7 linked regions of the Macaca mulatta genome follow. The protein of the gene in region 4 purifies or fractionates together with the protein of the main gene of each other region. This does not show direct contact. Links are inferred from orthologs where the notes say so. Each region holds a gene or a part of one and is shown on either strand. Other genes may lie near its edges.

Region 1 (4,016 bases), on a different chromosome or scaffold from region 4:
GTTACATTAAAAATCCATTAGTCCACCTTGTCCTGGAATGGATCTTTTGCCTGTGCATGATTATGTAGCATGAGACATCAGTCATTTGGAAAATACTGGACCACTGAGTTAAGCAGATCTCTGAGATACTGACACTTTCCATTACACAAGATTTGTTAAAATTGCACTCATTAATATCATCATTGATCTCATCAGAAAAAAAACGTTAAATATTGAGACGTTGTCAAGCTCATGGCAGCAGATACACATTTTCTAAACTTTTCATTCTGGCTTGAAGGCTTAAAAATTATCATTGGCAGCAGTAATTGTCCCTTGTTTTCCTGAAAGTGACAGGCACACTTTATTTATTTTCAGGAAAATGTCTGTCAAGTACCTGTTTGAATAATCATAGTTTGCCCATCTTTCTTTCAAGTAAAATGTTTTATGAAAATAAAAAAAAAAACGTGAATTCGGCCCACAACTCAAGCACAGAAGTATTTTCCTAGAGACAAGTATGACACACTTCATTTTGTAGCAGACGTGCTTTATGCCTATTTCCTATTTTTTTCATGCAGAATACTAAAAAGAATGGTACCCAAGGATTAAGCTTCAATAAAATTTATAATTTTTACTGCTTATCAAGAACACCATCAGGTGACACTGGCTCTCTAGCTTTTTTTTTTTTTTTTAACTGAGAATGCAGGTTAGTGACACGTGCGTACTTTCACTAGCAATACAGTTTGGTGTCCCTGCCATGATTGGGTTAAGCCACCAGCACTTTTAACCACCATTGTCTGCAAATCGTCACCACAGTGAACAAGTCAAATAAGTAAGTCTTAGCATTGTCATCAAATTTTTTTTTTTTTTTTGACCTTGCAGATCCCCTGAAAGGGTCTCAGAAACTCCCAAGGGGTTCCAGGACCACACCACACTTTGAGAACCACTGGGTGTTAGCGCATTCAGAAATCAATTCAGTTCTCTTTCTCTTCAGAGTTCTTGATGCTCGAGGCTTATTTATTGTGATAGGTCTGATCACTGAAGCGCCAAAGAAAAGATATGCCAAGGCGTCGAACACATCCAAGAAGGAAGTCCTACCGCGCACACAGCTCAAAGGCTCCAGCGTGAAGAAAAACAGCTCTTGGAGAAAGAAACGGGATGCAGAGGGCAGGCCTGGGCTTGTCGTTGCCAGTGGCAACGATCCTCAGTGGGCGGAGCGCGGCCATCGATTAGTGAGGCCTTGCGTCAGTCGGCGGGCGGGAGGGTGTGGGTGACTGGAGCCGGAAAAGGCCTCCCGGGCCTTGTGGTCGCCGTGGGTTCTTGGTAGCGAAGCAGCTCGCTCGTTCTGCGATCTATTGAGAGTGGCTTCCAAGAGCCCCGTGCCTATGTCGGGGAGGGAGGGAAGATGGCAGCCGTGGCGGCAGGCGGCCTGGTGGGGAAGGGGCGCGACATCAGCCTAGCGGCCCTGCAGCGCCACGACCCCTATATCAACCGCATCGTGGACGTGGCCAGCCAGGTGGCTCTGTACACCTTCGGCCATCGGGCCAACGAGTGGGTGCGTGCGGACGCGGCGGAGCAGTGCAGAGCAGGGTTGGGGTGGAGGCGGGGGGCGTCAGACTCAGGACAGGAGGACCCGGTGAGGGGGAGGAGACGTTGAAGCCCTGGAGGTGGGTGGATCTGGGGCCTGAGGCCGAAGTTGTGGAGATGCGCTCCCGGGGGTTTGGGGGAAGGGAGGCGGATCTGTGGAGCTACCTGGAGTTGGGGAAAAGACTTAAATCTCTAACGTACCCAACGCTGGGAGACCAGACCGATCGGGTACCGCACCCTGAGAGCCGAAGGAAAGGAAGGACCTGATGCCTTAAGGTCGGAAGACCGATGTGCTCGAGACAGTAAAGCAGAGTTCTGTTACAGTGAATCTGTGGCTATGGGGGAGGCAGGGACAGCAGATGAATAAAAGTGCAGAGTTCTGATTTTGGAATGTCAGTCTTAGATGGGACAAAGAGAAATCAAAACTTGATAGAAGGGGAGAAATCTGCAAGTTGTAAACTAGGGAAACGCCAAGAAAAGAGCCAACCTCGTCAAATAAAAGACAAAATGGGGCAGGGTCCAACACTTAGAAGGAGGCTGATGCTCTTGGGAGGATTATTATACGACAGCCCACCAAGTTTGATATTGGAGGCCATTTGGGAGCCAGATTATTTTAGTGCTCTTCTCAAAGCAGAGTCCCAATAAATGGTAATGGAATGAAATTTCATTGTCCTCACAGTTAGAATGGGGTAGAAGCCTAGAACACTGGAATCCTGTTGCAGGAATTGCTGCTTGTAATTTTGTAACCCACCCACTCGAATGTAGAGAGATGTAATTTTATTTCTTTCCTCATAATGACTTTTGTCCAAATAATATTCATCATCCATTATATATTGCCCATTAAATATCACATATATGATATCCATCATTTTAAAATAAGTTACAAAACAGTATGGAGAACTTAGCCTTGATGAATGGATTTCAGATAAACTTTTTGTGTTCTTCAAGTCGGTTGTATAAACACCAGAACTTAAGCAAGGAAAACATCCATGTTGAACAACTCTGTTTTTTTTTAACACCCACATTCATAAGCCTACTTATCTCCAGTGTAGTTCAGCAGCCTGTAGTTAAAAACTCACCTGAAAATCATTAACATAAAAATAAAAAAGCAAGCAAGAATGGGATAGACAAACAGTTTTGCCCAAAGTTCTTAACAGAGGAAATTTACAGGAATGGGGCAAAGAATTTAGGTCTGCGCTCCTAGTAGCCAAACTCAAAAGGAGAACAGGAAGAGCTCTTTAATATTCATTCTTCTGTAATAGAAAGCCTACCACTTAATCAGGAGAAAGGTTATTTCCCCCTAGTTTCCAGGGGCATTTGTCACCTAGGTCTTTACATAAAGAACATTGAGCAACATAGTAGACAGTTTCCTCCATGGTAATTAAAAGTATATATGAAGATATTCTACATAAGGCTGTTTTGCTGCTGTGTAGAAAAATGCCAAAGGCATAATGTTATAATCCTGTAAAAGTTAATTCCATAGTAGAGAGATGAGGACCAGAGATGTATAGTTGTATAAATTGACTTGACACTGGGATTCGAGTCTGGAGCATCCTGAGAAACTATTAATATAAAGAAAGTAGAGCATTTCTCTTGAATAATAGTTGTTTCCTGTAGGCTTTTGACCGTTATCTATGTGATAGATACCTTTTAAGATAGTTACAGATGTTTATTAGATACCTAAAGCCTCATCAAAAAGCAGATGTGTCACAATGCATTATTTACAGGAGTTATGTTTTCCTGCTTGCTGGACATGTTGCCTTCAGACAGGGTATAATTCACTCAGGAAAAGGTCATTCTTTCAAAGTTCTAATATTCAAGGCTGTCGTAGCCAGAAAAACAAAGAGAGAGACCTAGTTCAGCTGCAGAGCAGTTGCTGGAGGCAAATAAATTATGACCACTGTCTCCATGTGCTGTCACTCTGGGTGGGAGCCATTTGAATGTAAACCTAATAAGAATATGAGAACATTCTTGAGAAGAGAGGAGAAAGTATTTACAAGAAGGCAGGGAAGATGTTAAAGAGGGGAATTCTTATTGCCCTGAAAATGGATGAAGAATGACTTCAGCCTTTCAGAGGAGGAGAAATTAGGAAGGAAAGGTATATAGAAAATGAACTGCTTTAAAGAAGGATTAAGAAAGATTATGTCATGACTGGAATAGGAATTTTAGAGTTAGATCTACTCCCTGTTGCGAGGAAAGATGCCCCCCTCCAAAATATTAATACCTGTGTGTCAATTGAAGACCATAGCCCTGGTATTTTCCAGCTGTCAGTCCTTAGACCAGTGGCTCCCAGCTGGAGTTGATTTTGCCCCCAGGTGACATTTGGCAGCGTCTGGAGACGTTTTTGGCTGTTGCACTGAAGGGAAGAGTGTTAGGACATCTGCAGAATAGAGGCCAGGTGAGCTGAGCCTGAAAACTGCCCTACAGTGACTGAGGTTGTGTTCCGAGCTAGT
Region 2 (4,037 bases), on a different chromosome or scaffold from region 4:
TATGTCAACTAAAAATACAAAAATTAGCCAGGCGTGGTGGCAGCTGCCTGTAATCCCACCTACTCGGGAGGCTGAGGCAGGAGAATCGCTTGAACTCTGGAGGCAGAGGTTGCAGTGACCCGAGATCGCGCCATTGCACTCCAGCCTGGGGTAAAAGAGTGAGACTTCGTCTCAAAAAAAAAAAAGAAAAAGAAAAAGAAAAAAGAAAGGGGCTAGGTGTGGTGGTAATCCTAGCACTTTGGGAGGCCAGGAGTTCAAGACTGGCCTGGGAAACATAGAAAGAGCCCCATCTCTACCAGGTGTGGTGACTCATGCCTGCAATCCCAGCACTCTGGGAGGCTGAGGTGGGTAGATTACCGGAGGTTAGGCGTTTGAGACCAGCCTGGCCAACATGGTGAAACCCCATCGCTACTTAAAAAAAAAAAAAAAAAAAAAAAAAAAAAAAAAAAAAAAAAAAAAAAATTAGGCAGGGTGCAGTGGCTTAGCTTGTAATTCCAGCACTTTGGGGGGCCGAGGTGGGCGGATCACCTGAGGTCAGGAGTTCGAGACCAGCCTGGCCAACATACAGCGAAACCCCATCTCTACTAAATAATACAAAAATTAGCTGGGCGTGGTAGCACATGCCTGTAGTCCCAGCTATTTGGGAAGCTGAGACAGGAGAATCACTTGAATCCAGGAAGCGGGGGTTACAGTGAGCCGAGATCACGCCACTGCACTCCAGTCTGGGCAACAGAGCGAGACTGTATCTCAGAAAAAGAAAAAAAAGTGAGCCAGGCATGGTGGTATGCACCTGTAATCCCAGCTTCTAAGGAGTCTGAGGCAGGTGAATCACTTTAAACCCGGGAGGCGGAGGTTGCAGTGAGGGAGATCACGCCACTGCACTCCAGTTTGGAAGACAGAGACAGAGCAAGACTCCATCGCAAAAAAAAAAAAAAGAATGAAAGGGATGCTGTTGATTATTAAGCATGAAACAACTCTTCTGGGAAAACTGGAATGTAGAATCAGCCCACTCCTAGGGAGGTGGAGGCACAGAAAAGCACTGGGGACAGAAAGAAGAGACTGCCACCAGACACGCAAACACTTGTCAGGGACTAAGGGCAGGGCAGCCACCACACTGGGTCCTCCTTACACACACTGCCCATGTCCCCACAGCTGGGCCAGAAAGACACCCTGAGAACTCCCAGTTCGGCGCTGAAGGAGCCTGCCACCAAGTAGCGGTGCCCCTGCCAGGGCCTCCAGGGCTACAGCAGTTGGGGCTCGGCCCGAATGCTGCAGCTGGCCTCAGCCTCCCCAAAGCCTGCCTCCACCTCACAGCAGGTTTCTGGACTCCCTGAAAGCCCCATTCCCCACTGATACCCGTGTGGCTTTGCTCAGAGACTGGCCCTCCCTCCAGATACGGAGGGGAGTCTTATTGGGTAGAACTATATAGAACCTTCCTCCTCCAGGGGACCCAAGGGCTTCAGAGACTTCCTGGTGGGGAGGGGACAGAACCCCAGTCTCTGGCCTCTCAGTCTCAAATTCTTTCCCCCACACACAGCCACATGCCTAAGAACAGGACATGAGGTAACACTCCAGCAACGTGACAATATTGTGAGGTTCCAGAGTTAGAATCAGTGACGCCATCGCTATTCGGTGCTCCTCTGGAGTTTCTGAGATTCAAAGTTGCTAAGACTCCACTTTATCTTCGTGTTCTGTGTCTTTCTCAGCCAATCAGGCTAGAATATGATCTACTACCCAAGCAGGCGCACAAGGATGCCGCTGTCACAGCTGATACACTGGCATCTCGTGGTTCCTTGAAGACCCCCGGAGAAAGCCTCTAAGTGTTGCCCCACCTTCTTACCCTCTCCCCTGGGTGGTGGCAGCAACAGACTAAGCATGTGCGCCCTCCTCCCCATCCTGATCCCACTCAAACCACAACCTCCCCTGACTCGCCCCAGATCCAGCCCCGTCTTTTAGGAAGAGTTGGCTCTTCTTCACGTCCCACCTCCCACCCTCTCTACATCTTCTCGCCACATCCCACCCAAAGTCCACTCACTGGTCCCCGTTTACATCTCAAGGCCTTTGGTCAAGCAGTGTTCTCTGCCCATAACTATCCTACTCATCCTTGAGGGTCCAGCTCAAAGACCACCTTTCTGCGACGGCTACCCTGGGGCACGACGGAGAGAAGCACAGCCCGTGCCCCGTGTGGCTGCCGCCCCCGCGGTCACAACCACCGCCCAGTGAGTGCCTCGAAGGCAGGCGGAGGCCCGGTTCTCCCCGTTAGGCCCAGCACCACTGCCTGGGTAGACGGGAAAGCGGGCAAGGCCGGAAAATGGACAGAAGAATGCGCACGGCCCGGCCCGCGGGGCTCCGAGAGTCGGAGGCATCCTCAGGCACGGTCCCTCCGGGAGAAAGCGGGGCTCTGTCAGCCCCAGAGCCCCGACGGTGGCAGAAGGCGGGCCGTCCGCGAGCGTGCGGCCGCGCTGGGTCCCCGGCCCCTGCCCCGGCCTAGGCGGGAAAGGCGCTCAGTCCGAGTCGCGCCCTCCCCACGCGCGCTCCCAAGTGCCCCGCGGGCCGCGCCCTCCTGCAGGTGCCGGGCAAGGAACGCGGGCCCCTCCCTCGGACCCCGGCCACTCGGCCACTCCCCTGCGCCCGGCCCCGCCCGGCCCTGCAGGGCACCCGCGGCAGCCCGGCGACACCAGGGCGGGGCCCAGCCGCGCCCGCCCCGCCCCGTCCCCGCCGCCCGGCGCCGCACCCGCCTCACCTCACCCCGACCCGCCGCCACCGCCTCTTCCAGCTGGGAGGCCCCGCCGGAAATGACGCCACCGCCGGCTGCGCAGGCGCAGACGCAGCGCGCTCCCACGTGACCGCCCGGCACGCGGAGGGCGGGGGCGGCCGGGATTCCCGGGCGGGGTCGGGGCTCGTGGCGGCAGCTCTGGGCCGGCCCGGCCTGGACGGTGAGCGCCGCTGGCCACCGGCAGCGGCGGGAGCCCAGTAATCAGGACACCACCACAAGCACCACCTGTGTAGACCCAGGCCCCCTCACCTGGGAGTCACGTTTATTGAAAAAGTAAAAAGTGTCACAGTAAAAAATTCACCTGGAGACAAAGCCAGGCCTAGGAGGGGTGGCGGGGTCGTGGAGGGACGGGTCCGGCCGCCCCTGGCCCACGGGTGGGGCACGTGCTGGCCCCGGGGCGACCCGCGGCTTCCCCAGGGAGGCGGCCCTGGGCGCGGGGGCGGGCGGGCAGAGCTGGCTCAGTCCATCGTGGCCCCTTTGAAGAGCTCCACCAGCTCCTTGAAGTCCGGGTCGATGAGGTCGGAGGGCAGGTCGCCATCGTCGTTGGCTGCGTCCCTGTCCGCTCCCAGGGAGATAAGGTACCTGGGGTGCAAAGTCGCCCTGGCTGAAGCGGGGAGGAGCCGGGAGAGTGCTCGTCCCCACCCAGGTCAGAGGGCCAGAGTCCTGGGGTCACCTGTGTGTCCCCCACCTTCGGGTCTCAAGGTCCGGGTAGGGTGAGGAGGAAGAAACCTGACCCTTTGGAAGCTGTGGCCAGCTTTTCAAGTTGGCTCTGTTGAGGACAAGGGCAGAAACAGGATTCCAGAAGCTTTTAGGGTTTGTAGGGTTCTTTTTTTGTTGTTGTTGCCGCTGTTTTTAGAGACAGAGTTTCGCTCTTATCACCCAGGCTGGAGTGCAGTGGCATGATCTCCACTCAGGGCAACCTCCGCCTCCCGGGTTCAAGCAATTCTCCTGCCTCAGCCTTGAGTATCTGGGATTACAGGCATGCGCCACCACGCCCGGCTAGTTTTGTATTTTTAGTAGTGAAGGGGTTTCTCCATGTTGGCCAGGCTGGTCACGAACTCCTGACCTCAGGTGATCCGCCCACCTCAGCCTCCCAAAGGGCTGGGATTACACGCCTGAGGCACCGTGCTCAGCCCGTATGGTTCTTGCCTACACCACCAGGACCACATTTTGGGGCCCACATCCTGGGGGCCCACTGAGGCCTGGAGGGGTCGAGTTCAACCCTGTGTAGACCCAGGCCCCCTCACCTGGCTATGTCGGG
Region 3 (4,238 bases), on a different chromosome or scaffold from region 4:
AACGTTTAACAAGTAACCTACTATTTTCCTTTGTGTCTTTAAAATAGATAGGGCATTATCTTTATTTACAGAAAAGGATGTTTAGAGAGCCTAAGGAAAGGTGTTTGGGGTCCCCCAGTTACAGTAAAAAAAAAAAAAGAGGACTCGAAATCAGGTCTCCTGACTCTAGTGATGTTTTCACTACATTTTGGTTAGGAACAACCGCTTTGGAAGAGCAGCCAGCTCTTCCAACAATACAAAAATTAATTTTAAACAAGCAATTGTTAGCTTACGTGAAACTGTTGAGAAGAGTGAAAAGCAAAGGAATACGGCAGGCCAGTAACAGAAAACCCAAGAATCATTTTCAATACACCTATGGTTTCAAGATAGGGTAAAATACTTGGAAATTAGAAGATAAAAGTAAGTGGAAACACAACAGTCAAGAAACTAATTCTATTGCTTCTGAAGGTAGGCTAGGGAGTTGGACCAATTTATTCTATCGGATATTAAACAAGTGTCTACCAGTGGAGAGTAACTAAGTCATGTTTGTCCATTAAATCCTACTGAATTTAAGTCCAGACGCAACACTTTAGTTTTTGCCTTTCATCAACATTGAAAAGGACTCATTCACTGTCTCCACATTCACTCAAAATATGTGGAAAGTCTCTTCAAAGCAATCTAGGGGGAAAATGTTAAATCCTAATTATGGGTAATAAACAGCGATAATTTTGCAGGATAAGGAAGGGAAGTTTTCAGAATCTAAAGAGGCAGTGCCAACACTTTCTTCAAACCAGGAGTTGCCTGCTGACAAATCAACTGCTTAGCTGCTAACTGAACAGTTAAGTTAGTTACTCCACGAAATTATCAAATAACGTGTTTTCTTCTTTACCTTTTAATTTTTATCCCCATCCATCCCACAAGCATTCTGGCTCACTCTTGATGTTTTTTCACTATTACTAATATTTCGACCCTGAATATCAATCTGAGCTCTTAGTAAGCAATTCATTCTAGGTCCTTATTATTCCTACAATTCCTTGACTGCTTTTCAGAGTTAGTTTGTAAAGATTAAATCATAACATAAAGGCCCATATGAGTAATCTTAAAAATTTAAGAAAAATGTAACTACTGCTAAAGAAACGGTAAATCAATCCTAAGAGGTTCAAACGCCTCGTACCGTGTATCTCCTAAGACCAGGAATCTTGGATTATCAAAAGGACCACTGGATCCTAACAGGCCAAAAGTTTACTTAGAAACTTTGTTCACATGCCTAAGGCTATATTAACTGCCAAATATGGAGCTGGAGAAGAATTGCCATCATCTCCCACTCTAGTACACCGGGGCTCTCTTAACGGCAGTTAATGGTTCCTAGATCCAGGTACCTGCAACGCTAACGTTTGAAAGACTAGAACAAGGTACGGAGCCTTGAACCTAAAACCACAGTATCTTAATCCAAGTTAATATCCCACAACAATCACAGGGGAAGAAAAGGACAACTTTACTATTCCAGCTAAAAGTGCACGTGCCTTTTTTGTTGTTGTTGTTAGGAAGGAAAAGGCACTCTCCCACCCCCCCACCCCAAATCCGTTACAACATTAAGTATGTCTCGGGGAAAAAAACTGTTCTATGCAGGAAATTGTAGACGAAAATCTATATTCGCCCCAAAGCGGCACAGGGCCATCTTAAGAAATCTGCTTTTAGAGACGCAGGGAAAATTCTATAAGATTCCACAAACAAAATCAACACAATATAGGGAAGTTTATGTTCCTTTCTGTCCCCCCACCCCCAAAAAGCGGGAACCCATCCCTCAAAAGTCATTCCCGGGTAAATAAGGGATCGTCTGCATGAGAGGGGGACGAAGAAGGCGCACGTTACAGTTCCAGTATCCGAACACGTTCGGATTAAACCCGCGGTGGCGGGGAGGAGGGGGTTGGTCACAGACTACGGAACACTAGGTACTGGGTAAGCCAAGCGGCGGCTGCCTTCAAACACGGATTCTGTTTCCGTGCACAGAAATGGTGCCCGGAGGCCGCTACTTTCGCATCTGCGTCGCTTCTGCCTCCGCCGACAAAACCTCTTTTCCCCTCCCCCACGGGCGGGGCGGCGACGGCCTCCCCGCTCCGAAGGAACAGGGAATAAGAGCCGAAAACGATTCGGAAACAGGAACGGTGGGCTACGCACCCTAAAACATCCCCTCCAGAAAGCCTACTCCCACACTTCCTGTATTAAGCTTCCATCAGCGCGCCTTCGGGAGCTGCTGCGTGCCCCCCTACTTCGCCACCTCATCCCCAACAAACCTCAACCCCACCTGTGCCTTCGGAGCCCTCTGCACGCAAGACGCTCGCGGGTCACCTCCCTTCCCAGGCGGCCTCCCACCCCTCACCTAGAGGAAAGACTGGTCTTCTCTCACGCACACACGGCAGCGTAGGGAGCCGGCAAGAACAATGTCTCTGCCGCTACACCTCCGGCTCCCGGGCTCACACACCGGACGATTACCTCGCGCCGCGGAGTGCGAAGAAAATGTCCCTTTCCGACCACCACACCGACCTCCCCTCCCGGCCCCCGTACACACCTCCAGCCAACGGCGCCGGCGGGTACGTCGCGCGGAGGTCAGAAGAGTCGCTGAGGACCGGGTGCGGCGGGTTCTTCTTGCTCGCCGCCCCCTTCCTCCGACAACTCGGAAGCCTCGGAAGCCGGAGAGCCGCGAGTTCGTCTGCTTCACAACCACCTCTTCCCGGGCGCCAGGCGCTGCGACGAGCGACAAGGACCAGGGACGTCCCGCCCCCTTTGCCGCCGCCCCCTCTTATTGTTTTACCCCTGCCGAAAGGGCCAGGGAACCCCCGAGCACAGCGTCAGCCAATCACGCATCTCCTCCCGAACCGGGCCCAACCTTCCCGTGTCCCTCTGCGGAGCACGCGCAGTACGCTGCCGCGCTCGCACACGCTCGCGCCCGGAAAGCCGGGGAACCGGAACCGGCCTAAAGCCAAGATAAGAGTCCGCTGATTTGACGTCACAAGCAGGCTGCCTTTCTCCTGCCCCGAGGCTCCAGGCTTGCCGCCCTTCTTCCTTGCCGCCCTTCTTCCTGATCGCGCAAGCGAGAGCTGGTTCGCAGCAACGCAGTGTCTTTTGTAGACTGATACTCTGGTCCCTTTTATTAATGGGAAGGAGGGAATTTAGTAATCTTTCTGAACTAGGTGTCTGCAGGTTGCTGCTGTAGACGAGCTTAAAATGCAGCCGGTGATTTCAGCTGTTTGCACACTAAACTCACCTACATTGTTTATTTAACCCATCCTAGGTTTTAAGCCCCACCAAGAGGCCCTGCAGTAAAGGAAGAATATGACGTGGGCTTTACAGAGGGGGAAAAGACTATTTCTTTGTGTGCTTGTTACGAATTTAGGCATGGCTAAATATCAATACATACTAAAGCATTTTACATACTAAAGCTGAAAGGCCTGAAATATCAGGATTACAGTCCTAGTCTAGCTCTAAGCCCAGACTTGCCCCCAGGGTGAGACACTGGTGACCTTGTTTCATGGAAAAAGCCAAGCCAAATCTTGTAGTCAAGGAAGACACTTCGCATCTTAGGTCTGGCAGTGTTTTCAGAGAATACCGAGATAGCACAGGAATTTTGGAATGAAAGACTGATAAAATGTTCAAAGAAATGTAAAGAAAAAAATACATTAATGAATGCTTTCGAACTAAACATGGTGGACGCAGGCATATACATTTCATCAGTTTTTTCGCAGTCCTATAAGGGCATTTTTAAGGTATTTGGCACGTGAAGACAATATGTCAAATACCTTAAATATTGGCAGAGGCAATGCCAACATTAGGGACTCCAAAATCTACAATATCTTTACCTTTAGACTGCTTAAAGATATTGTTATATGCAAAATATTTGGGCAGACCATCACTTTAATGAAATGAACCTGATGTTTTTCCTTAACGCATCAAAATACATGCTGGCTGTCCTTTAATATACTGGGCTTATATACCAGGCATTCTTGTAATTACACAGCCTTCTAAGGCTCACAGTAACCCTGTGAACTAGTTCCTTTTTTTGTTTTTTAGACGGAGTCTCTCTCTGTCGCCCAGGCTGGAGTGCAATGGCATGGTCTCGGCTCACTGCAACCTCCGCCCGCCGAGTTCAAGTGATTCGCCTGCCTCAGCCTCCCTAGTAGCTGGGACTACAGGCGCGTGCCACCACACCCAGCTAATTTTTATATTTTTAGTAGAGACGAGGTTTCACTATGTTGGCCAGG
Region 4 (3,500 bases):
GGATACTTGTTCACAGTATGAGAGCTAAACAAGAGGACAGAGCATTGTCTTCTTCAACCTCAGCTGGGTATGTGCGTGTCAGGTGACTTAAACTCTTTGCCACACTGTACACGTCCACAAATGACTGCTAAACTGCCTTGAGTATTAATTCTGGAGTTACAAATAAATTCTAGTGACTAAGCAAACTCACAAATACAGAATATGTGAATAATGAGTATTAACCCTAGTAAAGGTCTAAGTATTTCAGAAACTATTCAAAAGTGTATCTGTGACTTGTTAATCATTTAGTATCAACTTTAGGTCAACAATTAAAACTGCCTTTTAGGAAACACTATGAATTTTTTAAAAACTTTTTTTTTCCTTCCCGAGATGGAGTCTTGCTCTGTCGCCCAGAGCTGGAGTGCAATGGCGTGATCTTGGCTCACTGCAACTTCTGCCTCCTGGGTTCAAGCAATTCTCCTGCCTCAGCCTCCCAAGTAGCTGGGATTATGGGCACGCACCACCACGCCCAGCTAGTTTTTTTGTTTTTTTGTAGTAGAGACGGGGTTTCTCCATGTTGGCCAGGCTGGTCTCGAACTCCTGACCTCGTGATCCGCCTGCCTCAGCCTCCCAAAATGCTGGGATTACAGGCATGAGCTACCACGCCAAGCCAGAAACACTATGAACTTTTATACAGTGAAGATGGTAGGAAAACTGATGAAATAATCTGTTTTACTGGGACTCGAGAGATAATATTCAACAGCAGAAGCCTACTTCTTACCCTGGAGAAAAGTGTGTTGAGGCAGTGTACTTTTTGGCGCTCAGTTACATATGCGTAGTACTGGGTTACTCCCTTCAGAGTTAGTTCCTCCATCAGGTTAATCTCATAGGGTTTCTGCAAATGGGAATTCTGGGAGGGGAGAAAAAAAAAGATGGTTCTTCTTAAATGAAAGCAGAGTTCATCTCAAATTCAAAATATACCCACCCTATAGGTTTCTGTCTAATCAACTCTTGCTATAAGGGATGCAACTCTCTTCAAAACAAAATATATGATCTGTCATTACAGAATTTTCCCCCCGCTGCCCTGAGATGGAGTCTTGCTATCACCTAGGCTGGAGTGTAGTGGCACCATCTCCACTCACTGCAACCTCCACCTCCTGGGTTCAAGTGATTCTCCTGCCTCAGCCTCCCGAGTAGTTGGGATTACAGGCACACGCTGCCACAACAGACTTATTTTTGTATTTTTAGTAGAGACGGGGGTTTCACCATGTTGCCCATGCTGGTCTCGAACTCCTGACCTTGTGATCTGCCCACCTTGGCCCCCCAAAGTGCTGGGATTACAGGCCTGAGTCACCACGCAAGACACGTTAGAAATAAATTAAGATATAAGATCTCAAAAATGCAGCTAAGTTACTACAGGTTAAGTATTCCTTATCCAAAATGCTCAGGAACAAAAGCGTTTCAGGTTTTAAATTTTTTCTAATTTTGGAATATGCACATTACACTTAGTGACTGAGCATTCTTAATTTGAAAATTCAAAATCAAAAGAACATTTCCTTTTAGCATCATGTTTGTGGCTCAAAAGGTTTCAAATTCTGCAGTATTTTGGATTTCAGTTTACGATACTCAAACTCTATTTTGTATATAGAATAATACTGGAATCAATTCAGCTAGCACCAATGGCTATGTCATCATGACACCAAAAACTAAGAGAAAAATGAGGAATTTAATTAATTACTATTACAACCTTCTTAAAAAGTCAGTTAATTTATGTAAAACAAATCTTTAATTGATCAACTGAAGAAAGAGCCAAAGGCTTGAAATAATTAGTATAAAGTATTTTCACAGATAGGAAGATGTAATTATGAATAAAAGCATACTCATAGATCATAGGATGGCACTGATTCCAAGTACAGATTTATACTCACCATGAACTTCTGTACACTAAGAGGGAAAGTAGCGGAATATAGTAAAATCTGCCTGTTTTTAGGTAGCGTGAGAATAATATCCTCCATTATCTGCACAAAATCCTGTGACAGCAACTTATCTGCCTGCAGTAGAAAGAAAAGACAATTTTAAAAACAATAAAATAATGTCTAAGGTCTTTGGTTAATACATGGTCAAAGAATAAGGCATCATCCAACAAAAGCATCCATGAAATGTTCCTGGTGGAAAACAATAAATTCTCTCCAACACTGCAGAGTCAAATATGCGTAAGGGGGCAGAATCTATGATCCCCATCTTCTAGGGGAAAAAAAAATTCTACACTACACAGATAAACCTCCCCCCTTCTATAACAGAATTTAATTAATTAATTTATTTTTAGAGACAGCATTTCACTCTGTCACCCAGGATGGGATGCAGTGGCATAATCATAGCTTACTGTATGCAGCCTGAACCTCCTGGGCTCAAGTGATCATCTTGCCTCAGCCTACCAACCTACTGAGAAGCTGGGACTACAGGCACATACCACCAAGCCCAGCTCAACAGAATTTTAATGTGATGATTCTCATTAAAGAGGTAGTATGGTATATGTGTTTGAAAGTACAGGTTCTGTCTGTGCACGGTGGCTCACGCCTGTAATCCCAGCACTTTGGGAGGCCGAGGCAGGAGGATCACGAGGTCAAGAGTTCGAGACCAGCCTGACAAACATGGTGAAACCCCATCTCTACTAAATATACAAAAATTAGCAGGGTGTGGTGGATTGCACCTGTAATCCCAGCTACTTGGGAGGCTGGGGCAGAATAATTGCTTGAACCTGGGAAGTGGAGGTTGCAGTGAGCCGAGATCACACCACTGCACTTCAGCCTGGGCAACAAAGCAAGACTCTGTCTCAAAAAAAAGTACAGATTCTGGAGCTAAACTGCCAGGTTGAAATCTTGCCTCCTTCATTTCTTAGCTGTGTGGGAATGTTACAGAACTACTCTGTACTTCAGTTTCCACAACTGTAAAACTGTAAAACTAAAATTTGGATGTTTACATCATGTAGTAACTACTTTACAGGGATTTAGAAAAAACTTGGCTAAGGTCAGGTGTGGTGGCTCACACCTGTAATCCCAGCACACTGGGAGGCTGAGGCGGGCAAAGCATTGAGGTCAGGAGTTCAAAACCAGCCTGACCAACATGGAGAAACCCTGTCTCTACTAAAAATATAAAATTAGCCGGGCATGGTGGCACATGCCTGTAATCCGAGCTACTCGAGAGGCTGAGGCAGGAGAATCGCTTGAACGAGGTTGAGGTTGCGGTTGCGGTGAGCTGAGGTTGTGCCACTGCACTCCAACCTGGGCAAAGAGACTCCGTCTCAAAAAAAAACCAAACCAAACCAAACCAAAACAACAAAAAAGAAAAAACTCGGCTTTCAAGTTATCCAGCCACTCCTCTTCTTAAAAATTAAACCTAAACTCTGGCAAGTGTAAGAAAAAGACAAAAGCTGAATTCCTACGAATGCCTAACTACTGCATCTGAAGTATAAAACATATTTTATAAGCAAATTAAAATCTGGATGTCTACATACTATAGTA
Region 5 (3,500 bases), on a different chromosome or scaffold from region 4:
GGAGCTGAGAGGGGGTTCTGCTGTTGGAAGGGTTGAGAGTGGGTTCTGCTGTTGAGAAGCAGGCGATGGAGTGTGTGCAGGGTTTGTGGTGCTTCTTGGTGCAAAGCGCCTGTCCCAGTTTTGGCTTGCTTTGCCAGGGCTGTTGAGATGGGCCTGGGGCCATGCCGTGCCTGTGTGTGCCCTCTGTTCAGGCTTCCCTTCTGGTGGGGGAGCCTCAACCACCAGGGCCTCCCGGGCGTGTTTCCTGGGCAAACTCCTCCTTGAACTTTCTACCCAAAGTCTTTCTAATGGGCGATGCTTCTGTGGTGAGCTGTTTATGGCCCAAGGCTGCCACTGCTGCTGTGTCCTTAGTAGACCCACGGAGACAGATGCCCTCACTCCCCCAGGCCCCGGGACGGCCACCAGTCACACACCAGGAAAGGGGTGCCAGAGCATGTGCAGTGGAGCATCGGGGACGAACGTTCCACTGCCCACCAGCACCAGGGGCCTCAGCACAGGGCTAGACACAGAGCAGGTAGCAGGGACTGTGCTGGACAGGTTGTTGTCAGAAGGGTCTGGGAGGCTGGCAGGTGGAGCCGGCGGTGAGGCAGGCAGGCAGGCAGCGGCGGCAGAGAGGCCTGCAGTCAGCAGCTAGTGCTGCTTTCATTTCAAAGGATCTCCAGCCGCAGGAGGTGTGTAAAATGGTACTCACGTTCACACTCTCACTTCTACAAGGTTACTGCTAATGTGTAATTTTTTTTTTTTTTAGACGGAGTCTCGCTCTGTCGCCCAGGCTGGAGTGCAGTGGCACGTACTCAGCTCACTGCAGCCTCTGCCTCCCAGGTTCCAGCGATTCTCATGCCTCAGCCTCCTGGGTAGCTGGGATTACAGGCGCACACCACCACACATGGCTAATTTTTGTATTTTTAGTGGAGAGGGGGTTTCGCCATGTTGGCCAGGCTGGTCTCGAACTCCTGACCTCAGGTGATCTGCCCAGCTTGGCCTCCCAAAGTGCTGGGATGACAGGCGTGATCCACCACACCTGGCCTAATGTGTAACTTTTGTTAGAGGTCTTTTTCTTGCTGTTATAAATCAATTATATAAAAAGTAAGATACACAAATGGCACCGTCCTTGTTACGTCCACTTTCATATTGCTTTATATCTTTTTTTTTTTTTTTGGAGACGGAGTCGCACTCTGTCCCCCAGGCTGGAGTGCAGTGGCACAGTCTTGGCTCACTGCAAGCTCCGCCTCCCGGGTTCACACTGTTCTCCTGCCTCAGCCTCCTGAGTAGCTGGGACTACAGACACCTGCCACCACGCCCAGCAATTTTTTGTATTTTTACTAGAGACGGGGTTTCACCTGCATGAAACCCTGGATGGTCTCGATCTCCTGACCTCGTGATCTGCCCGTGTCGGCCTCCCAAAGTGCTTGGATTACAGGCGTGAGCCACCGCACCCAGCCTGCTTTATATCTTTGCTATGATTTTTCTGTGTGTAAATAAATGTGTACAGTTTTACACATATGGGGCCATATACTATATGTAGTTATGATGCTTTTTTTTGAGACAGAGGAGTCCCTCTCTGTTGCCCAGGCTGGAGCACAGTGGCAGGATCTCGGCTCACCACAACCTCCACCTCCTGGGTTCAAGCGATTCTCCTGCCTCAATCTCCCAAGTAGCTGGGACTACAGGCGCGTGCCACAGTTGCCTGGCTAATGTTTTTGTATTTTTAGTAGAGACGGGGTTTCACTATGTTGACCAAGCTGAACTCAGACGCCTAACCTCGTGATCCACCCGCCTCGGCCTCCCAGAGTGCTGGGATTACAGGCGTGAGCCGCCGCATCCGGCCTATGATGCATTTTTAATATAAATCTTCTTCCACAGTATCCTTTTCAAGATTTTATGCAAGTCCAACTGTCTAATCTTCTGATCTGCTTTTAGGGGACAAGCAGGCCTTCGCACTATCACGTCCTCTGGGACGACAATCGTTTCTCCTCTGACGAGCTGCAGATCCTCACCTACCAGCTTTGTCACACCTACGTGCGCTGCACACGCTCCGTGTCCATCCCAGCGCCAGCATACTACGCCCACCTGGTGGCCTTCCGGGCCAGGTACCACCTGGTGGATAAGGAACATGACAGGTGAGTGGCATTCCCGGCTGGAGGCCACAGCAGCGGTAGTTTTTGCCACGGGTGTTGGCAGCTGCTTTTCTGAGGAAGCAGCAGGGCCCCAGCAGCTGGAGCCAGCACCCTAGAAGGCCTTATTAGTGGCATGGCCGTCAGCGTGGGACTTTCCCCTCCCCCAGGTTCCTGCCGTGCCATCCCGACTTAGTTATCGACGCACCGCCTCGTCGTGCATTAAGGCTGCACATTCTCATCCTCTGTCTCTCTCACCTGCAGTGCTGAAGGAAGCCATACCTCTGGGCAGAGTAACGGGCGAGACCACCAAGCACTGGCCAAGGCGGTCCAGGTTCACCAAGACACTCTGCGCACCATGTACTTTGCTTGACATGTTTTAGTGTTTAGCGACTGTGTACCGAGTGGGATTCACGAGACCAGCTACACTCAGACCAACAGATGGCCAGCCCTTCCGTGACAGCCAGCATTGAACATGAGACGTCATTGATTTTATTAGATTCTCCGTTTTCCAGAATGCCTTCCGTCCCAGATTTCACACTTGGATTTTGAACTGCAGACCTGTATGAGAACCCAATGTCATAGGAAATATGGTTTGCTAAAATCTATAAGCTGCTTATTAAAATAGAGTCCCGTGTTTCCTAAAAATCTAAAACCAGTCTATGAACTCAGGGCTTTAAAACATTTTTAATTTATTTGGTCATTCAATTTACTTGTTTTTAATACATGATTCTCTATGAAATTGATGGGCTCAAACTAGCTGTGAATCTTCTGAGAGTGAAAGCAACACAAAACACAATTGTGGTTTTAAAGCCTTGAACATTCTGATGTTGTCACTAAAGTTGATTTCCGGGCGATGCTCGTGTGCCGCTGGCGTGGCTCACCCAAGGTCCTTGACCGAGGGCCGGTGGCCATGCAGAGGCCTCCGCAGGTGCCGAGTTCTGCCAGCACTGCCCTTCACCCGGCCTGAACTAAGGAGCAGTGGCAGAAGGTGGGCCCCGTGTGTTTACAGCATTTCCAGGTCCAGAGAGGTTGGCAGACAAGTGCCATTTTAATAAAAATGTATTTAAAAAAAGAAAAAAGACAATATACTGACAGTCTAATCATCAGATTTGTCCTATAGGACTGTGACATTTATTTTCCAAAGTTTTTAAAGAATACGGGTCTGTGGTGATGAATACAGTACAATCCTTTTTCACTGTTATGTCTTTAATGTAAGAGAAAATTATATATATCTGGTTTGCAGTATTAATGTGATAGATAGATGCTGTTTTTTTCATTTTATTGACTATGGGGTGCTTCTGTGATCTGTTTAGCATATCAAGAGTGTTTTGGAGCCTGGAGACGAGACTGCCTCTCAGTTCTTAGTGCTTAAGGACAGGAATA
Region 6 (3,972 bases), on a different chromosome or scaffold from region 4:
CTAGACCTTTCTGTTCTTCCTATAATACTCTGTATCTGCACAGTGTTCTTTTTACTCTTTCAGATGTGAGCTTTCCCATTTTGCAAAGGAGAAAACTACACACTGGAAAGGAAATTCACCCAAGGTGATCCAGCCAGTTAATCCATTCATTCATTCACACATTCATTCTCCAAACATTTAAGAGCCTACTGTATGTCAACTAAAAATTGAGTAATTCAGCCAGGCGCAATGGCTCACGCCTGTAATCCCAGCACTTTGGGAGGCTGAGGTAGGCGAATCACATGAGGTCAGGAGTTCGAGACCAGCCTGGCCAACATGGCGAAATCCCGTCATTACTAAAAAAAAGTTAGCCGGGTGTGGTGGCACATGCCTGTAATCCTGGCTACTCGGGAGCCTGAGGCAGGAGAATCACTTGAACACAGGAGCCAGAGGTTGCAGTGAGCTGAGATCATGCCACTGCACTCCAGCCTAGGTAACAGAGTGAGATTCCATCCCCCCCCAAAAAAAAAAAAAAAAGAGTATTTCCTAGTTTCAAGACCCTTCCAACCAAACCACTAATGTAAAAGGTCTTATTTCTTCCAGGTGTAACCTCTCATTTTTTGAAAAAGCAACAATTGTTAGCACAGTGGCTCACGCCTGTAATACCAGTACTTTGGCAGGCCGAGGCGGGCGGATCACGAGGTCAGGACATCGAGACCATCCAGACTAACACAGTGAAACCCTGTCTCTACTAAAAATACAAAAAATTAGCTGGGCGTCGTGGCGGGTGCCTGTAGTCCCAGCTACTCAGGAGGCTGGGGCAGGAGAATGGCACGAACCTGGGAGGCGGAGTTTGCAGCGAGCCAAGATCGCACCACCCACCACTGCACCACTCCAGCCTGGGCAACAGAGCAAGACTCTGTCTCAAAAAAAAAAAAAAAGCAACTACTCTTACTATAATTAGTTTCAAAGGACATCTTCCTAAACTAGAAATCTACAAGCAGTGGTTAAATGAATTAAAATACTTGCCACTCAAAGGCAGCAGACTCAGTAGGAAACTTCATTTTGAAAGATGCCATGGCCGGGCACGGTGGCTCACGTCTGTAATCCCAGCAATCTGGGAGGTCAAGGCAGGCAGATCACCTGAGGTCAGCAGTCTGAGACCAGCCTGACTAACATGGAGAAACCCCGTCTCTACTAAAAAAAAAAAATACAAAATCAGCCGGGTGTGGTGATGCATGCCTGTAATCCCAGCTACTAGGGAGTCTGAAGCAGGAGAATCGCTTGAACCTGGGAGGCGGAAGTTGCAGTGAGCCCAAATCAAGCCACTGCACTCCAGCCTGGGCAACAGGAGTGAAACTCCGTCTCAAACAAAAAAAAAAAAACAAAGCCGGGCGGTGTCTCAGGCCTGTAATTCCAGCACTTTGGGAGGCCGAGGCGGGCAGATCACGAGGTCAGGAGTTCGAAACCATCCTGCCCAACATGGTGATACTCCGTCTCTGTTAAAAAAAAAGATACAAAAATTAGCTGGGCGTGGTGGCGCGTGCCTATAATCCCAGCTACTCCGGAGGCTGAGGCAGGAGAATCGCTTGAACCAGGGAGTCGGAGGCTGCAGTGAGCCAAGATCACGTCACCGCACTCCAGCCTAGGAACAGAGCGAGACTCCATCTTTAAAAAAAAAAAAAAGATACCATAAAAAATTACTCCTTCAAGATTCCAATAAACCCACCTGTAGCTCCCATAAAAGGGGAAGCTGTGGCACATTTATCCCAACAAGAAGCGTTTCGTTTCCAAGACTGAGTTTCCTGGAGTAATTCAGAAGTCATTCCCACCCCAAAGAAGCAGGCCACCTTTTCCAATCAATTTAACATTGCTGCTTTCAAAAGGGAGGCTGCTACTACTACGTAAAAGGACTCCATGTGCTGGACTGATCAAGGCAGCATGAGAACTTCACTCTTTCACCTGTAACTCACACATCCCCAACCCACATAAGCCCCGGCAAGCCCTCTCTGGAACAGGTTTCCAATGCAAACATCCCCCAAACAGCGATTTCCAAATGACCGAGAAGCCTAAAAGTCAGAACAGCCCCCCCACCACCACACATACACACGCATCAGCGAAACAAGCCACTATCCCCAGTTCAGATACAAACTCTGCCCTGCACTTACTCTCCCCCAAAACAGGCAAGGACCAATTTGGTCACCATTCCACCGCCCTTCCTTGGACGAAATCCCATCAGTGCACATGCCCTCCTAAATTCTATACCTTTGCCCTACCAGCAGTTCCTTACCCTAAACATCCCTCCCCATAATATTTCACCCGCTCCTCCTTTCCATCCGGGCTCCAATCCACCAGCCCCCTCCCAACACCACCCCCTCTCCTAATCACTGTGTCCCCTCTCATAACGTTCTTCCCGAAAAGCCATCCCCGTGTCAAGCCCTCCTCCACCCACTGATCCTCGGTAAAGCCCCAGCTCCCGCAAGGGGAGACAGGATCCCCAAAGCTGACCGAAGGGCCCGCGGGAGGGGGAGGGGAACTCAGGGCCATGCGCATGCGCCCCGGGCGCCGCGGTAGCCGGTCGCCCCTAGGCCCGGAGAGAGCCCCAGCCGCCGCCGTCGTCCCCCACCCCCCGACCACCGCACCTATACGCCGGCCCGGACTCGGGCTTCACGCAGGGAAGGATACTTAAAGCCAGCATTTTGGATTGGTAGTCGAAGGCTACCACCTCGCCCTGCAGCCGCTGCTCCTGGCACGTCCGGCACGACACCTGGCTCCCAACGCTGAAGTACTCGCCCGGAGGAGCCGCCATCTTGGGAGTGCAGCCGCGGCCGGCGGCGGCGGCGGCAGCAGCGGGCGAAAGCCGGGCCCCTAGTGAGCGCCGCGACGCGACGCGACGCACGGAGCGTGCTTGCGTCACACGCCGGGGCGTGGTCTGACGCTGGGTGGCTAGGGAGCCTAGGTGGACTAGGGAAGAAGAGGAAATAAAGGGGAATCTGAAAAATATTTGTGTAGCTGCGTCCGCTCGGTTAAATGCTTGTAGAGTCCATTTTAGAAGTTAAGGATAAATGACCTACGTGGAATGAAAGGGGGAAAGAGGAGAGAGCTGCAGTCTCCATTATATGCACACCTTCCACACAAGAGTTTAATGAATGAATTTTATAAAATATATTAACCCCATTTTGCATATAAGGAATCAGAGCCTCAGAGGACTTAACAATACTTGGACAAGATGATTATAACGGCCGGGAGCGGTGGCTCACGCCTGTAATACCAGCACTTTGGGAGGCCGAGGCAGGTGGACCACCTGAGGTCGGGAGTTCGAGATCAGCCTGGCCAAGATGGTGAAACCCTGTCTCTACTAAAAATACAAAAATTAGCCGGGTATGGTGGCGCGTGCCTGTAATCCCAGCTACTAGGAGGACTGAGGCTGGAGGATCGCTCGAACGTGGGAGGCGGAGGTTGCACTGGGCCGAGATCGTGCCACTGCACTCCAGCCTGTGCAATAGAGCAAGACTCCGTCTCAAAAAAAAAAAAAAAAGATGATTGTAACTAGAGAGTGATAGTGGAAAGAACATTGGCTGTGGAGTGAGATAAGCCGGAACCAGAATCCCAGGTCAACCTATTACTAAATCACCTGACCTTGAGTAAGCAAATTACCTGATCCTGTTTCTTCATAGGCATTTGTATTGTCACTTCTTGAGCATCTAACAGCCCTTTGAGGTAGGTATCAATGTCCTCCTTTTACAGAAACTACGTTTTAGACTAAACTTGTCCACGGTTCCACAACTAGCAAAAACAGTCTACCTATTTACAAGGACAGTGCTATTTACTGCTATACTGTGTTAGATAATAATACCTACCTCATAGTTAGGAGGTTTAAATGCGATAACGTGTATATGTGCATGGCATGTACTAGGTCTTTAATAAATGGTAGTTCCCCTTTAGTCATCCATTATTCTTAGAAGTCAAGACACTTCCTCTTCTTCCTTTTTG
Region 7 (3,500 bases), on a different chromosome or scaffold from region 4:
TGTTCTCCTGGAAACCTGTCTTCACTTAGTGACCCCATATCACCAACACATCACCTAGAGAGCACCAAGACACTCACGTATAAGAAGAAAGACTGCTATCGTAGGTGGTCTTCACACCGTAGTTCTCCTCATTAAACTTGAACATTTCATTGGGGTCCCATCCATTGGACTGGGGAGGGAGAAAGCAGGTTTTAAAATCCAGCAAGAAAAGCAACATTGACAAGTCACTTCCCTTCCATCAGATTAAAAACTCTTAAGATGTGACCAAATTGGCTGGGCACAGTGGCTGAAACCTGTAATCCCAGTAGTCTGGGAAGCTGAGGCAGGACGATCTCCTGAGGCCAGGAGTTTAAGGCCAGCCTAGGCAACACAGCAAGAGTCCATCTCTACAAAAAAATAATGAAACAGGTGGGTGTGGTGGTGCATGCCTGGGGTCCTAGCTACTTACTACTTAGGAGAGTGAGGAGAGAGGATCACTTGAGCCCAGGAGTTTGAGGCTGCAGTGAACTATTATGGCACCACTGTACTCAGGCCTGGGCGACTGGCTGGGGGTGGTGGCTCATGCCTGTAACCCCAGCACTTTGGGAGGTGGGTGGATCACCTGAGGTCAGGAGTTTGAGATCAACCTGACCAATACGGTGAAATCCCATCTCTACTAAAAATAAAAAATTAGCCATCCGTGGTGGCGCATGCCTGCAGTCCTAGCTGAGGCAGGAGAATCGCTTGAACCTGGGAGGCAGAGGTTGCAGTGAGCTGAGATTGAGCCACTGCACTCCAGCCTCCAGCCTGGTTGATGGAGCAAGACCCTGTCTCAAACAAAAAACAAAACAAAACAAACAACAACAACAAAAACCCAGGCAACAGAGCAAGATTCTGTCTGAAAAATAAATAAATAAGTGAACAACAGTGAAAAAAAATAAGGATGTGGCTGGCAAAAGTAATCAACTAATAATTGTAATTACTAACTGCAATTTTTTTTTTTTTTTTTGGCGACAGAGTTTCATTCTCGTTGCCCAGGCTGGAGTGCAACGGCACCATCTTGGCTCACCGCAACCTCCATCTCCTGGGTTCAAGCGATTCTCCTGCCTCAACCTCGCCAGTAGCTAGGATTATGGCATGTGCCACCACACCCAGCTAATTTTGTATTTTTAGTAGAGATGGGATTTCTCCATGTTGGTCAGGTTGGTCTTAAACTCCCAACCTCAGGTGATCTGCCTGCCTTGGCCTCCCAAAGTGCTGGGATTACTGGCATGAGCCACTGATCCCGGCCTGCAACTGTTAATAATTACTAACAATTGCAGCAGAAATTAGTGATAACTAGTAAACCTGAAAAGTCAAAAAATCCAACAAGTCTATGTCCAAGACATCCCAGAAAAATTCTGGCACATGTGCGTAGGGAATACAAGTTCTCAAAGTCCAGCAAGGTACTATTTTTAGTAGCAAAATAATAGAAACAAAATGCAGATGAGTAACGAAAAGGACAAATACAATTTGTTGCGTATACGTATGTGTGTGAATATAAAGAAAACATTACACAACAATAAAAGCAAAGAACTAGATCTATGTATCACCACGAGAAGTTCGAAAACGCAAAAAAAGCGAATTCTTGTACAAACCAAACATAACAAAGCAATAACATATTCATTCACAAGACATTTGTTTCTCAACAGACATTCTTGCTATGATGCCCAGGCTGGAGCACAGTGGCCATTCACAAGTTCAATCGTAGTGCACCAAAGCCTGAAATGATTCTCCTACCTCAGCCTCCTGAGGAGCTGGGACTACAGGTGTGGGACCACCATGCTCAGCTCTATTCATGAGCGATTTTTATTTTTATTTTTTGAGATAGCCTCACTCTGTCGCTCAGACTGGAGTCCAGTGGCACAATCTCAGCTCACTGCAGTCTCAAACTCCTGGGCTCAAGAGATCCTCCTGCCTTGGCCTCCTAAGTAGCTGGGACTACAGGAATGAGCCATTGTGCTCAGCCTCGTGAGAGATTTTAAATGTCTCAGAGTAGCTGATTTTGGGAAGAGAAACGGGTCTACACGATAATCTATACTTTTCGTTATGTTGAAAAATAATGTAATGCAAATGCTAGGAATGGTTAATTATAGATAGTAAGAAAATAAGTTGATGTTTTGGTTTTTTTTTGACAGGGTCCAGTCAGGCTGGAGTGCAGTGGTATGATCACAGCTCACTGTAGCCTCGACCTCCCTGGGCTCAAGTGATCCTCCCACCTCAGCCTCCCAAGTAGCTGGGATTACAGGTACATGCCACCAAACCTTGCTAGCTTTTATATATCTTGTTGCGACAGGGTTTTGCCATGTTGCCTGTGCTGGTCTCGAACTCCTTGACTCAAGTGACCCACTGGCCTTGGCCTACCAAAGTGCTAGGATTACAAGCATAAGCCACTGCACCCAGATGAGAATAGGTAGTTTTACTTTGCTATTTTCTATGCCTATTTGTTATCTGACCACCATCAACGGGCAACAGTAAATATTTCCCTCCCCCTTCAAATGAACCTCACTGTCAACAACCCATTCTGTCTGTCAAGCTCCCAGGTTCTCAGGGAAGGCAGCTATACCATGTCGGACTCGAGGTCGTAGTCGTCGCTGTTGCTGTCACCCCCCTCCCAGCGCTGAAGCACCTTCTCTTTGTGTTCCCCATTCACTTTTGAGTTCATGGCAATGGCTGAATCGGTGAACTTGTCTGTGGGGGAAGAGGTGAAGATCAGCAGTCAGGCCCTATTTCACAGACTTCTTTCCAATATCCCCCAACCCCACTCCCCATAAGTAGTAGTTCAGGAACGAAAAGTTTAAGAAGCCCAGAGTACGTGTGCCTGTGTGTCAGCACGGCCAGGGGGTGGGGAGGCAAAAGAAGAGTAAAAGAAGTCTATCAAGATTATGATTCCAAAGAAAAAAGAAATTAAAAACAAGCAAAGAAAATATGAAGAACCACAACACAGGCTGGAATTCATTCCATTATATATTAGACATCAAGACATATTTTTAAGAAAAAAAAAATCCACCCACCTTGCTCAGAAAAAATAAGAAAAGGTATTAAGGCAAAAAAAATAAATAAACCAAACACATCACCTTGTTCCACCTGCATGCACACAAACTGCCCTCTGTCCTCTATGCACACAGAGCAGGTCTGAGGTAAGAGCCTAGGACGATACCTTTAGTAGCGTAGTTGAAGTCAACATTTCGGAAGTGAACGAGCATGACATCACTTGGCTTAAACACCATGGTGTCCACAATGTCCTCCCGACGAGGGCCACCTGCTGGCTCAGATGCTTTCCGGTGCACAGCATCCACTGCTAGTTCAAACTACAAACACCCCCATTCCCCACACCCACGGGTCAGTTTCAAGAAATGTGAAGGCAAAATTAGGACTGGATTTCTCTAACCCTTCCCGAACTTTTCACAACACTACATCCTCAATACGCTTAGAACCAAGTGCATTGTTTTCTCAACATCAGCCACAGGACTTAGCAAAAG

What was found.
Region 1: the proteins of DDX6 (region 4) and DCP1B purify together in Homo sapiens (affinity purification with mass spectrometry; 6 studies listed by BioGRID and IntAct, counting the BioPlex papers as one, with this or other methods). This does not show direct contact. The link is inferred for Macaca mulatta from reciprocal best matches to the Homo sapiens genes DDX6 and DCP1B.
Region 2: the proteins of DDX6 (region 4) and MCRIP1 purify together in Homo sapiens (affinity purification with mass spectrometry; 3 studies listed by BioGRID and IntAct, with this or other methods). This does not show direct contact. The link is inferred for Macaca mulatta from reciprocal best matches to the Homo sapiens genes DDX6 and MCRIP1.
Region 3: the proteins of DDX6 (region 4) and G3BP2 purify together in Homo sapiens (affinity purification with mass spectrometry; 3 studies listed by BioGRID and IntAct, with this or other methods). This does not show direct contact. The link is inferred for Macaca mulatta from reciprocal best matches to the Homo sapiens genes DDX6 and G3BP2.
Region 5: the proteins of DDX6 (region 4) and AGO2 purify together in Homo sapiens (affinity purification with western blotting; 5 studies listed by BioGRID and IntAct, with this or other methods). This does not show direct contact. The link is inferred for Macaca mulatta from reciprocal best matches to the Homo sapiens genes DDX6 and AGO2.
Region 6: the proteins of DDX6 (region 4) and LSM12 purify together in Homo sapiens (affinity purification with mass spectrometry; 5 studies listed by BioGRID and IntAct, with this or other methods). This does not show direct contact. The link is inferred for Macaca mulatta from reciprocal best matches to the Homo sapiens genes DDX6 and LSM12.
Region 7: the proteins of DDX6 (region 4) and ATXN2L purify together in Homo sapiens (affinity purification with mass spectrometry; 6 studies listed by BioGRID and IntAct, with this or other methods). This does not show direct contact. The link is inferred for Macaca mulatta from reciprocal best matches to the Homo sapiens genes DDX6 and ATXN2L.

Annotation. Positions count from the first base shown.
Region 1 is NC_133416.1:2,872,238-2,876,253, reverse strand, and holds the start of DCP1B (mRNA-decapping enzyme 1B), read left to right. Parts: upstream 1-1,216; 5' UTR 1,217-1,381; coding exon 1,382-1,531; intron 1,532-4,016. UniProt on the Homo sapiens protein: May play a role in the degradation of mRNAs, both in normal mRNA turnover and in nonsense-mediated mRNA decay. May remove the 7-methyl guanine cap structure from mRNA molecules, yielding a 5'-phosphorylated mRNA fragment and 7m-GDP.
Region 2 is NC_133421.1:91,485,787-91,489,823, forward strand, and holds the start of MCRIP1 (mapk-regulated corepressor-interacting protein 1), read right to left. Parts: upstream 2,801-4,037; 5' UTR 2,744-2,800; intron 1-2,743. Other genes in the region: PPP1R27 (protein phosphatase 1 regulatory subunit 27), read right to left, coding at 3,235-3,358, 4,024-4,037. UniProt on the Homo sapiens protein: The phosphorylation status of MCRIP1 functions as a molecular switch to regulate epithelial-mesenchymal transition. Unphosphorylated MCRIP1 binds to and inhibits the transcriptional corepressor CTBP(s).
Region 3 is NC_133410.1:58,136,092-58,140,329, reverse strand, and holds the start of G3BP2 (ras GTPase-activating protein-binding protein 2), read right to left. Parts: upstream 2,801-4,238; 5' UTR 2,549-2,800; intron 2,491-2,548; exon of another isoform or gene 2,360-2,490; intron 2,305-2,359; exon of another isoform or gene 2,274-2,304; intron 1-2,273.
Region 4 is NC_133419.1:119,438,972-119,442,471, forward strand, and holds part of DDX6 (putative ATP-dependent RNA helicase DDX6), read right to left. Parts: intron 2,031-3,500; coding exon 1,908-2,030; intron 890-1,907; coding exon 761-889; intron 1-760.
Region 5 is NC_133413.1:150,854,864-150,858,363, reverse strand, and holds the end of AGO2 (protein argonaute-2), read left to right. Parts: intron 1-1,920; coding exon 1,921-2,120; intron 2,121-2,378; coding exon 2,379-2,497; 3' UTR 2,498-3,196; downstream 3,197-3,500.
Region 6 is NC_133421.1:68,427,636-68,431,607, forward strand, and holds the start of LSM12 (protein LSM12), read right to left. Parts: upstream 2,801-3,972; 5' UTR 2,789-2,800; coding exon 2,665-2,788; intron 1-2,664. UniProt on the Homo sapiens protein: Nicotinic acid adenine dinucleotide phosphate (NAADP) binding protein. Confers NAADP sensitivity to the two pore channel complex (TPCs) by acting as TPC accessory protein necessary for NAADP-evoked Ca(2+) release.
Region 7 is NC_133425.1:28,113,749-28,117,248, forward strand, and holds part of ATXN2L (ataxin-2-like protein), read right to left. Parts: intron 3,330-3,500; coding exon 3,179-3,329; intron 2,710-3,178; coding exon 2,585-2,709; intron 170-2,584; coding exon 78-169; intron 1-77. UniProt on the Homo sapiens protein: Involved in the regulation of stress granule and P-body formation.